3 linked regions of the Saccharomyces cerevisiae S288C genome follow. The gene in region 1 interacts genetically with each later gene. Each region holds a gene or a part of one and is shown in the gene's direction. Other genes may lie near its edges.

Region 1 (2,891 bases):
TGAATACATGTTTCTAACTAACTAACCAAGGAGGGCGCTTGAATGAATCTTTTTTTTTTTTAGAAATAGATTTACCACTCTTAGAGTTTCCGCTATAAATAATGGCAGCTTGCCTGCGTCCGAAATACCCTTTGGGTATACTAAACATAGATATATAAAGTAATGAAGAAAAAATGAAAACTTTTCGTTGAGGGAAAGAGCTCAAGCTTTGGGATTATCAAATTAAATTTGTATATATAAATGTACATAAAGTCACAACAGGAAAATGATAATATACACATAATCTTCTGAGATGCAAAATGAATGGAAAATAATATGACATGTAAGAACCAACTAATACGTCATTAGGAAATGTTTTGCACATTCATAAGCTGTCCATGATATAGCAGTAGCCGGCATGTTTGCCACTATCCTTGGTTTCCAACCTCTCCAAAACCCTTTCCAGCCATAAACTTGATATATGGCACTGGCTGCTTTACTAAAAGTATCCGCCTTTCTCATAATTTCCAACGAAACTGTTTGACTGCCCCTTATCTGCAGTACTGTCTTTATGCAGTCTAAAGGTGTTGTGATCGCCGCACATGTCGATCCGCTGATACTGCCACACAGACAATGTATGAGGGGGTTGTACTCATTTGATGGGTTTAAAAATTTTGTGGATGATTCATATATGACGAAATTAAATGCTGCAAATGGGATGTTCATTACTAGGGTGGTTGGGTAAGAATAATAAAATGCTGCCAAACCTTCAGATTGGTAAATCTGCTTTGTGGTTTGCCATACTGATGCCGAGGTATTGAGTTGGATTCTCTGTTTTATTGTGTCGAATGGGTTCATTAATGCGTCAGATGCCGTGGTGGCACAGGCACCACTGATAGCTGTCTTAAAAGGATGGTGCGTTTGCGTATCACTCGAATCGATAAGATTTTTTTTGCAGAACTCATACGTACCAAAATACACTGCATGCGCAGGTCCCGCACCTAGTATGACAGACTGAACACCCTTCCATAGGGCTAGAGTTCCTTCGGAAGTAGAGATGTGAGATATTTGCGAAAGCATATTCTTGGCAGACAGCGATTTCGCGTTGGCTGATTGTATTCGCGTCTTAAGGGCATCTATCGGGAACATCACTGAATGTTCCATTATACCAGCAAATGCACCCGCTATAAGTTGATGGTACAATGGCGCGTGGGTGGGGAGCGCCTCATAATCGGGTAGATCCATAGGTATTGCTGGAATTGGCCTTGTTGAATTATTACTCGACGAGTTTTCTACCATAATATCTTCTTTTTTTATAACATAAATATATTTACAGCAAACCTTAAGAGGTGTTAACGAATATGGGAATCGTGATTAATTAAGTGAAGTTACGATCCCAAGATAAAATAAGGAAGTTGTTGAAAGAGGAAAGAATCGATGAAGAAATGAACGACAAAATTACTTTTGTCAATTGTAGGGTACGAAACACCAAGAAATGCAATAAGTGCTATGTAAAGGTGATCCAGTCTTGGTTAGCACACACGCCCAGTTTCTCGAGAGACATAATGACAGTAAACGGTGAGTATAAAAAAAAAGCAAAAAAAAAAGAAAAAAGGAGCAATCGTTCGTTACAAACGATCTAGACTTGATGAAAAAAAACCCTAAAATGTCTCAGACCTAAAACAAAACCCTAAGAAGCACGTGATACAAACCTGTCACGTGCAACATTATGGGGTATGGGTGTGTCACACATTTGAAAAAAAGTGGGCGGAACGTGTGTGGGGGGGTGTCATGCCATTTCCACATTTGGTTGCTCTGGAGATAAGATCCACGAATGAAGGTGAGGGGCATGACTTCAGGGATCAATTTCCCGCCCGCAAGTTAGTTTTTCCGGTGGGAGCCGAGCATCAAGCATGACCACTTCCTGGTGCAGAGAGAAAGTTTCACACATATAAAAGAATAAACCGAAAGTAATGTAGGGAGATGTTTAATGTGATTTTTCACCTTTGTTTTAATGATTACGCACAAGTTTAAATATTACATTCATAAGACAGTAAATAAACGTATTAAATGATCGCCCAAAGTACCAGATTAGCCGCCGCCGTCTCTTCTTCAGCCGCCTCCGCGGGTGTCTCAAGGATAGCCGCTAGCGCCATGGCCAGCACTATTTTCAAGAGATCTCCGGGCAACTCGTTCAACTCTTTTAAGGAATATAGAGAAAATGCCAAGACATATGGTCCCTTGAGTGCCTCACTAGCTACCAGAAGACACTTGGCTCACGCGCCAAAGTTGTAGGCGTATCTTAATTATGCTCTTTTCTTTCCTGGTTTATTAATGATGATGACTTTAACCTATTCTTCTTTTGGGGTCCTGGTACGGTGCCTCAAATTTTTATACAACATGACTTTTTCAGTTACATATTTTTTTATAAGTACTTAATTTAGAAACGGATACATTTACACTACATTTTGTCTATTTTTTTTTTTTTGTTCCTTTTGTTTTATGCTATATTTAAGAGGGAAAATAGGACGGGGCTGCACATTACAACGGTGAATGGAACGCCAGCATAGATAATAAATCTACCTAGAATGTCAATCTTGGGCTCTCCAATATATAATGGACATTCGTACTTGCTTGCACCTTCTTTGTGCGTGGCCTCCAGTCTTTTTCTTGCCGCAACGTTTCTGTCATCCTTCAGATGGAAAACTTTGATCAATAACGTGTAGATCATCGGTTTGCTGATCACGTACTTCCAGATAACAACGCACGGTAGGCCCACCAGCAGCCTGGCTAAGGTTAACCGCCAGCCACAGTTAGGTTCCAAATTGTACACCAGGGTGACTCCAAACACTTTGCCCAACCAATCACAGCATTCAATACCTGACACAACGCCCATGAACGCAACACTATCT
Region 2 (3,672 bases), 550 kb from region 1:
GCCTCTGAGGGTCATTCACGACCTAGCATACCACTATATACGTGTACGATTTTTTTTTTCTGTGACCGCACTACACCAAAGTTTAATGTTCCATTGGCCCCGGAACCATTCTTGCAAACGGCGTTCTTTTTCCGCTTTCGGGTGACACTTAATTTAGCTTCTTTTCCCTCTCTGACACCTCTTGTTATCTAATCTGTAGATCCGACTCTTTTTCTTTTTGGTGTCGTTCTTCTATGTCCGTTTTTCTGTCAACAAAAACGGAAATAATAGGTAGAAATTAAGAGCCGTACGTGAGTGAGAGGAGATCCGAAATGAGCTGACAGTATAACTAATATAAGCTTACAAGATATTCGACTATTTCCTGGGAAAAAATTCATTCCTTTGAGAAATCCTTAATAAAAACAGACTAACTACTAAAATTTTAGAAATTTAAGGGAAAGCATCTCCACGAGTTTTAAGAACGATATGACCTTGGCACCCCTAGACGCCTCCAAAGTTAAGATAACTACCACACAACATGCATCTAAGCCAAAACCGAACAGTGAGTTAGTGTTTGGCAAGAGCTTCACGGACCACATGTTAACTGCGGAATGGACAGCTGAAAAAGGGTGGGGTACCCCAGAGATTAAACCTTATCAAAATCTGTCTTTAGACCCTTCCGCGGTGGTTTTCCATTATGCTTTTGAGCTATTCGAAGGGATGAAGGCTTACAGAACGGTGGACAACAAAATTACAATGTTTCGTCCAGATATGAATATGAAGCGCATGAATAAGTCTGCTCAGAGAATCTGTTTGCCAACGTTCGACCCAGAAGAGTTGATTACCCTAATTGGGAAACTGATCCAGCAAGATAAGTGCTTAGTTCCTGAAGGAAAAGGTTACTCTTTATATATCAGGCCTACATTAATCGGCACTACGGCCGGTTTAGGGGTTTCCACGCCTGATAGAGCCTTGCTATATGTCATTTGCTGCCCTGTGGGTCCTTATTACAAAACTGGATTTAAGGCGGTCAGACTGGAAGCCACTGATTATGCCACAAGAGCTTGGCCAGGAGGCTGTGGTGACAAGAAACTAGGTGCAAACTACGCCCCCTGCGTCCTGCCACAATTGCAAGCTGCTTCAAGGGGTTACCAACAAAATTTATGGCTATTTGGTCCAAATAACAACATTACTGAAGTCGGCACCATGAATGCTTTTTTCGTGTTTAAAGATAGTAAAACGGGCAAGAAGGAACTAGTTACTGCTCCACTAGACGGTACCATTTTGGAAGGTGTTACTAGGGATTCCATTTTAAATCTTGCTAAAGAAAGACTCGAACCAAGTGAATGGACCATTAGTGAACGCTACTTCACTATAGGCGAAGTTACTGAGAGATCCAAGAACGGTGAACTACTTGAAGCCTTTGGTTCTGGTACTGCTGCGATTGTTTCTCCCATTAAGGAAATCGGCTGGAAAGGCGAACAAATTAATATTCCGTTGTTGCCCGGCGAACAAACCGGTCCATTGGCCAAAGAAGTTGCACAATGGATTAATGGAATCCAATATGGCGAGACTGAGCATGGCAATTGGTCAAGGGTTGTTACTGATTTGAACTGAAGTATCGCTATTGCTACGTAAAGTAATTAAAAGTTAAAAAGAATAAAACTAGAGCGTTTTTTCTACTGAGTTAAGGGGTCATGTCAGAATATAACATACCCTTTGACATTGTATATATGAATTCCTGGATTTTGCAGTGATCTGATAAAAAATGTATGTCGAAACCTGCAATTATCCTTTCGTTTTTTTTCTTGTCATCTAGTGCTGGCCTATCGGTATCAAGGACATCTTTTGCGCGGATAGAAAAGGGCCCATACATACCTTAGAAGCAACTCAAGACAATTCATGTACTTTTTAAACCAACTAATATTTCAAGACGTTTCCGTAATGTCGGTGGATAAAAGAGAAGATATGAGCAGATCTTTCCAAAAATGTTTAAACTTGAGATACCCTATCATCCAGGCCCCTATGGCGGGGGTCACGACTATTGAAATGGCCGCTAAGGCTTGTATTGCGGGCGCCATAGCTTCACTACCCCTATCCCACTTAGACTTCAGAAAGGTCAATGATATTGAAAAGCTTAAACTGATGGTTTCACAATTCAGAGATCAAGTAGCCGATGAATCTTTAGAGGGCAATCTCAACCTAAACTTTTTTTGCCATGATATCGTTGATAAACCGACCGATCTTCAAACAGCTAACTGGGCGAAGCTATACAGAAAGTCTATGAATGTGCCGATTGATATGAATGAGATTAAATTCGATAATGGTAATGTATCTTTTAAGGCATTTGAAAAAGAAAATGCTCTTCAAGATTTTTTCCAGTACCTATCAGATGGCTTTAGGCCTAAAATCATTAGTTTCCATTTTGGCCATCCGTCGAAATCTACAATAGAATATTTACAAAAAATTGGAATTCTAATTTTTGTGACTGCCACCTCTGTAAGAGAAGTTCGATTGTTAGCACGTCTCGGCATTAATGGCATAGTGTGTCAAGGCTATGAAGCGGGAGGACATAGAGGAAATTTCTTAGTAAATGACCCCAAAGATGATGAAAACTTATCAACTGTACAATTGGTGAAAAGAACAGTTGATGAACTTGCTGAAATGAAAAATAAAGGTCTTATACATGCTACTCCCTTTGTCATTGCAGCAGGTGGTATAATGGATTCCAAAGATATATCATACATGTTATCACAGCAAGCAGACGCTGTTCAAGTGGGGACTGCTTTTCTTGGTTGCAGTGAATCCAATGCATCAAAAAACTTTTCAAGCCCCTTCACTCGAGAAACAACAACTAAAATGGTTAATATAATATCAGGAAAGCCTGCAAGGACCATCTCTACTCCTTTTATCGAAAAAGTCATTGCTAATTTTCAAGGTGAGGAGCTTCCTCCATATGGCTACATGTATAGTGCTTTCAAGCAAGTAAGAAAAAAGTATCCAGAATTGGCTAACTTTATTTTAGCTGGACAAGGATTTCAGAATGTCCAATCAGGAATCACAACAGACAAGAAAATTGAAACTATGGGCGCAAGATTGAAAATTGACGGAAAATAATATAAATACATATAAAAGACCTGATACTTATTGACACAAATTTTCTGGATGACCTTTTTCTATATGATATATATACGTCGCTATTGGATCGTAGGTTACTTGGCCATTATTTGAGCGTAACCGTTCACAGGATGTGGGCTTTAAGGAATACAAAATCCAAATATGGAAAAAATTTGATATCAATTTAGGGCTTTAATATCTAAAGGTATTTATTTTTTTCACAGTTTTTTTTCTGTTAAGCTGTCTGCAATAAGGAATGCTCCTGACATGAAATTCGAAAAGGACCGGAAATAGTTGGAGCACAAGACTGCAAACTAAAAAACAAATTTCTTTGGAATTTCCTTACGCTTATAGTATATATCTTATAAATATTAAAATTAAGAGAATTCAATTATTTTACATCATTTATACAACTGTACAGGGCCGCACATGATCACTATAACAATAGAGCGGCGGCACCAGCAATAGCAGCGGCACCGAAAACACCGTTATTGAACTTGTTAGCACCGTTAGTGGTAACGTCAATAACACGAGATGCTGACGATGTGACAGAAGTAGCTGTAGATTGAGCTTTGG
Region 3 (2,662 bases), on another chromosome or scaffold:
ACAAGTACCCATTGGCGCTATGAATTTCTACACCATCGGCGCCAGCCGCGATAGAATTCTTAGCCGCATGGATGTAATCCTTGATATACTGTTTAATGTCGTCTTTAGTCAAACTATGTTCGAGATTATTCGCATCTTTGGCCTTTTCTTGTAACGTAGCATTCATATACACTCTGTCAGATGCACAGTCATAGCGTAACCCGTCTCTTGCCAATACGTCTGGGAAGGATGCCCAGCCTAAAGACCAAAGTTGTACCCACGCGAACGACTGACAATCATGGATGGCTAAAAAGATATTCTTCCACTCAGCGACCTGCTCATCAGACCAAATCCCAGGGGCGTTGTCATAGCCGCCGGCTTGAGGGGAAATAAACGTACCTTCCGTGATGATCATGGTACCAGGTCTTTGAGCACGCTGACCATAATACACAGCAGCCCACTCCTTATTTGGAATATTTCCGGGGTGAGTGGCCCTCATTCTGGTCAATGGGGGCATAACCGCACGATGTGCAAGCTGAGTGTTACCAATCTTAATTGGTTCAAAAAGGTTTGTGTCTCTTAGGGAGATCGGCTCAAAACCTTTTACAAATGGCATCTTCTAAATTTAAACTTCGCTATACTGAACTACAGTTGTTGTATATATCAAGTACGTACTTTTTTGCATATGATGGGCAAGAATCAAGCACAGTTCACAACCCTTATATAGGTTCGAGTTGTCCTACTTACAACACTGTGCTTAGTAATGGTTATTGCGACTTTATCCTTGTTCTGAACGGAGTTATATCAGGAACGCAAACTGCTTACTAAGGAGCCCTTCTAAGGAGCCCTCCGCAAATAATAGGATCGGCAATTTCAGACGGAGGACGGAGCCGCCTAAGTGCCAAGAACATTAAAGAAGAAAGAAATAAACCTTGAGCGGCTACACGAAACAGTGGTCAAGAGTAGAATCTCTGAAACGTCGAACCCTCTTTGTCAGTTATCGCGGGCATATTCTGAGAAGAAGCAATATACAACAAACGAGCAGGACAGATTAAAATTTTCAAGGCGAGGTAAGCTGTGCCAGATCAGTGTGGGACGACGCTCAGTAGTTGGCGATCGAAGCACGTGATCAGTTTTCCACATCCGTGATTTGGCGCAAATTACCATGTGAGCGTGCGGGAATAAGCTCCTTTATTTGCGGAGCGACAAAGGAAACGAGACCATATTACCCTACCTTCCTTGTTTTATTTTACTTTTTTTTCTAATTTTAATTTTCTTCGTTCCTTCAACTGTATGTACCCTTTTTCTACCGGAAATAAGACGGTCGTAGTGTCCGCGTTTTTGGTTCTTTAACGACAAGACATCAGTGCCTTCTCGCATTTTTGTTGAATTGTATTGTATTATGCTCGATGTTTCCAGAACGATATATACATCTGAGAGTTTATATATCAACGATCATTTTCTTGTTGCAGTAAGCTATAATAGACGCGTCAAATAGTCTAACCAGTCTAAATCTCATCAGCCACACACACGTACATCGGAATATTATAGAGAACAAATGTCCTTCATTAAAAACTTGTTATTTGGAGGTGTTAAAACAAGTGAGGATCCAACCGGGCTCACAGGTAACGGGGCCTCAAACACAAACGATTCTAATAAAGGTAGTGAACCGGTAGTAGCGGGTAATTTCTTTCCTAGGACGCTTTCCAAATTTAACGGCCACGACGATGAAAAAATATTTATTGCTATTAGGGGCAAAGTATACGACTGCACAAGAGGGAGGCAGTTTTACGGTCCAAGCGGGCCATACACTAACTTTGCAGGCCATGATGCGTCGCGTGGTCTTGCATTGAACTCCTTCGATCTGGACGTTATTAAAGATTGGGATCAGCCTATCGATCCCTTAGATGATCTGACAAAAGAACAGATTGACGCACTGGATGAGTGGCAAGAGCATTTTGAGAATAAGTACCCATGCATTGGTACTCTGATTCCGGAGCCTGGCGTGAACGTATGACGATTGAGCTCCGCACATTATTTATTAATAGCAAACACCAAGGAAAGGGAAAAAGGAAGGGGCGTGGTGGACGATGATATATGTATACATATACATATCTATATTTTGAAAAAATCTTCTATATAACGGTTGTATAGAAATAATTACTTATTTATGAATTAGTACAAAATATACAAAGCATGCTGCTGTTCGGAACGTGACGAAAACAGTAGCTTAAACTGTATATTTTTTGTGATACTGTGCGGCTGAAACAGGGAACAATATCATTAGAACTGCACAAATGCTTCTCTAGGGATGCCATTCATGCTACTCTGAAAACCCTTTATGGCAACTTCATAGTTCCAGTTACTTTGCTCGGCCAACATAAACGTGTATTCTGCATTCAATTTCGTTTCCAAATGTAGTTTATTCAGCAGCTCGAGTTGTACGGGATTTAGCCGCGACTGGACATCTGGAGGTAGTTGCAAAGTGGGAGCCATGACCATGGCTCCTTGGGGTGCGCCGGGAATGCTCATCCCTCCTGGTACCACTGAAGGTTGTGGCTGCGGTGGTGTCGTTATATTTGGGTTCATGCTTGCGACCTGTGGTAGGACCGAGGCCTGTTGCTGTGGAGGCTGTGCTATTGCAATAGATGCAGTTTTCCAAGCGCCTGTGGAATACGCTCTT

What was found.
Region 2: mutations in DPI8 (region 1) and YJR149W together harm fitness more than expected from each alone (negative genetic interaction), as found in Saccharomyces cerevisiae (one large-scale study listed by BioGRID).
Region 3: mutations in DPI8 (region 1) and DAP1 together harm fitness more than expected from each alone (negative genetic interaction), as found in Saccharomyces cerevisiae (one large-scale study listed by BioGRID).

Annotation. Positions count from the first base shown.
Region 1 is NC_001142.9:159,006-161,896, reverse strand, and holds DPI8 (Dpi8p), read left to right. Parts: upstream 1-2,049; coding exon 2,050-2,274; downstream 2,275-2,891. Other genes in the region: MRS3 (Fe(2+) transporter), read right to left, coding at 334-1,278; sphinganine kinase LCB3, read right to left, coding at 2,480-2,891.
Region 2 is NC_001142.9:705,279-708,950, forward strand, and holds YJR149W (putative nitronate monooxygenase), read left to right. Parts: upstream 1-1,881; coding exon 1,882-3,096; downstream 3,097-3,672. Other genes in the region: branched-chain-amino-acid transaminase BAT2, read left to right, coding at 466-1,596; DAN1 (Dan1p), read right to left, coding at 3,533-3,672. UniProt on the Saccharomyces cerevisiae protein: Catalyzes the oxidation of alkyl nitronates to produce the corresponding carbonyl compounds and nitrites.
Region 3 is NC_001148.4:226,777-229,438, forward strand, and holds DAP1 (Dap1p), read left to right. Parts: upstream 1-1,537; coding exon 1,538-1,996; downstream 1,997-2,662. Other genes in the region: OYE3 (NADPH dehydrogenase), read right to left, coding at 1-595; MEX67 (Mex67p), read right to left, coding at 2,263-2,662.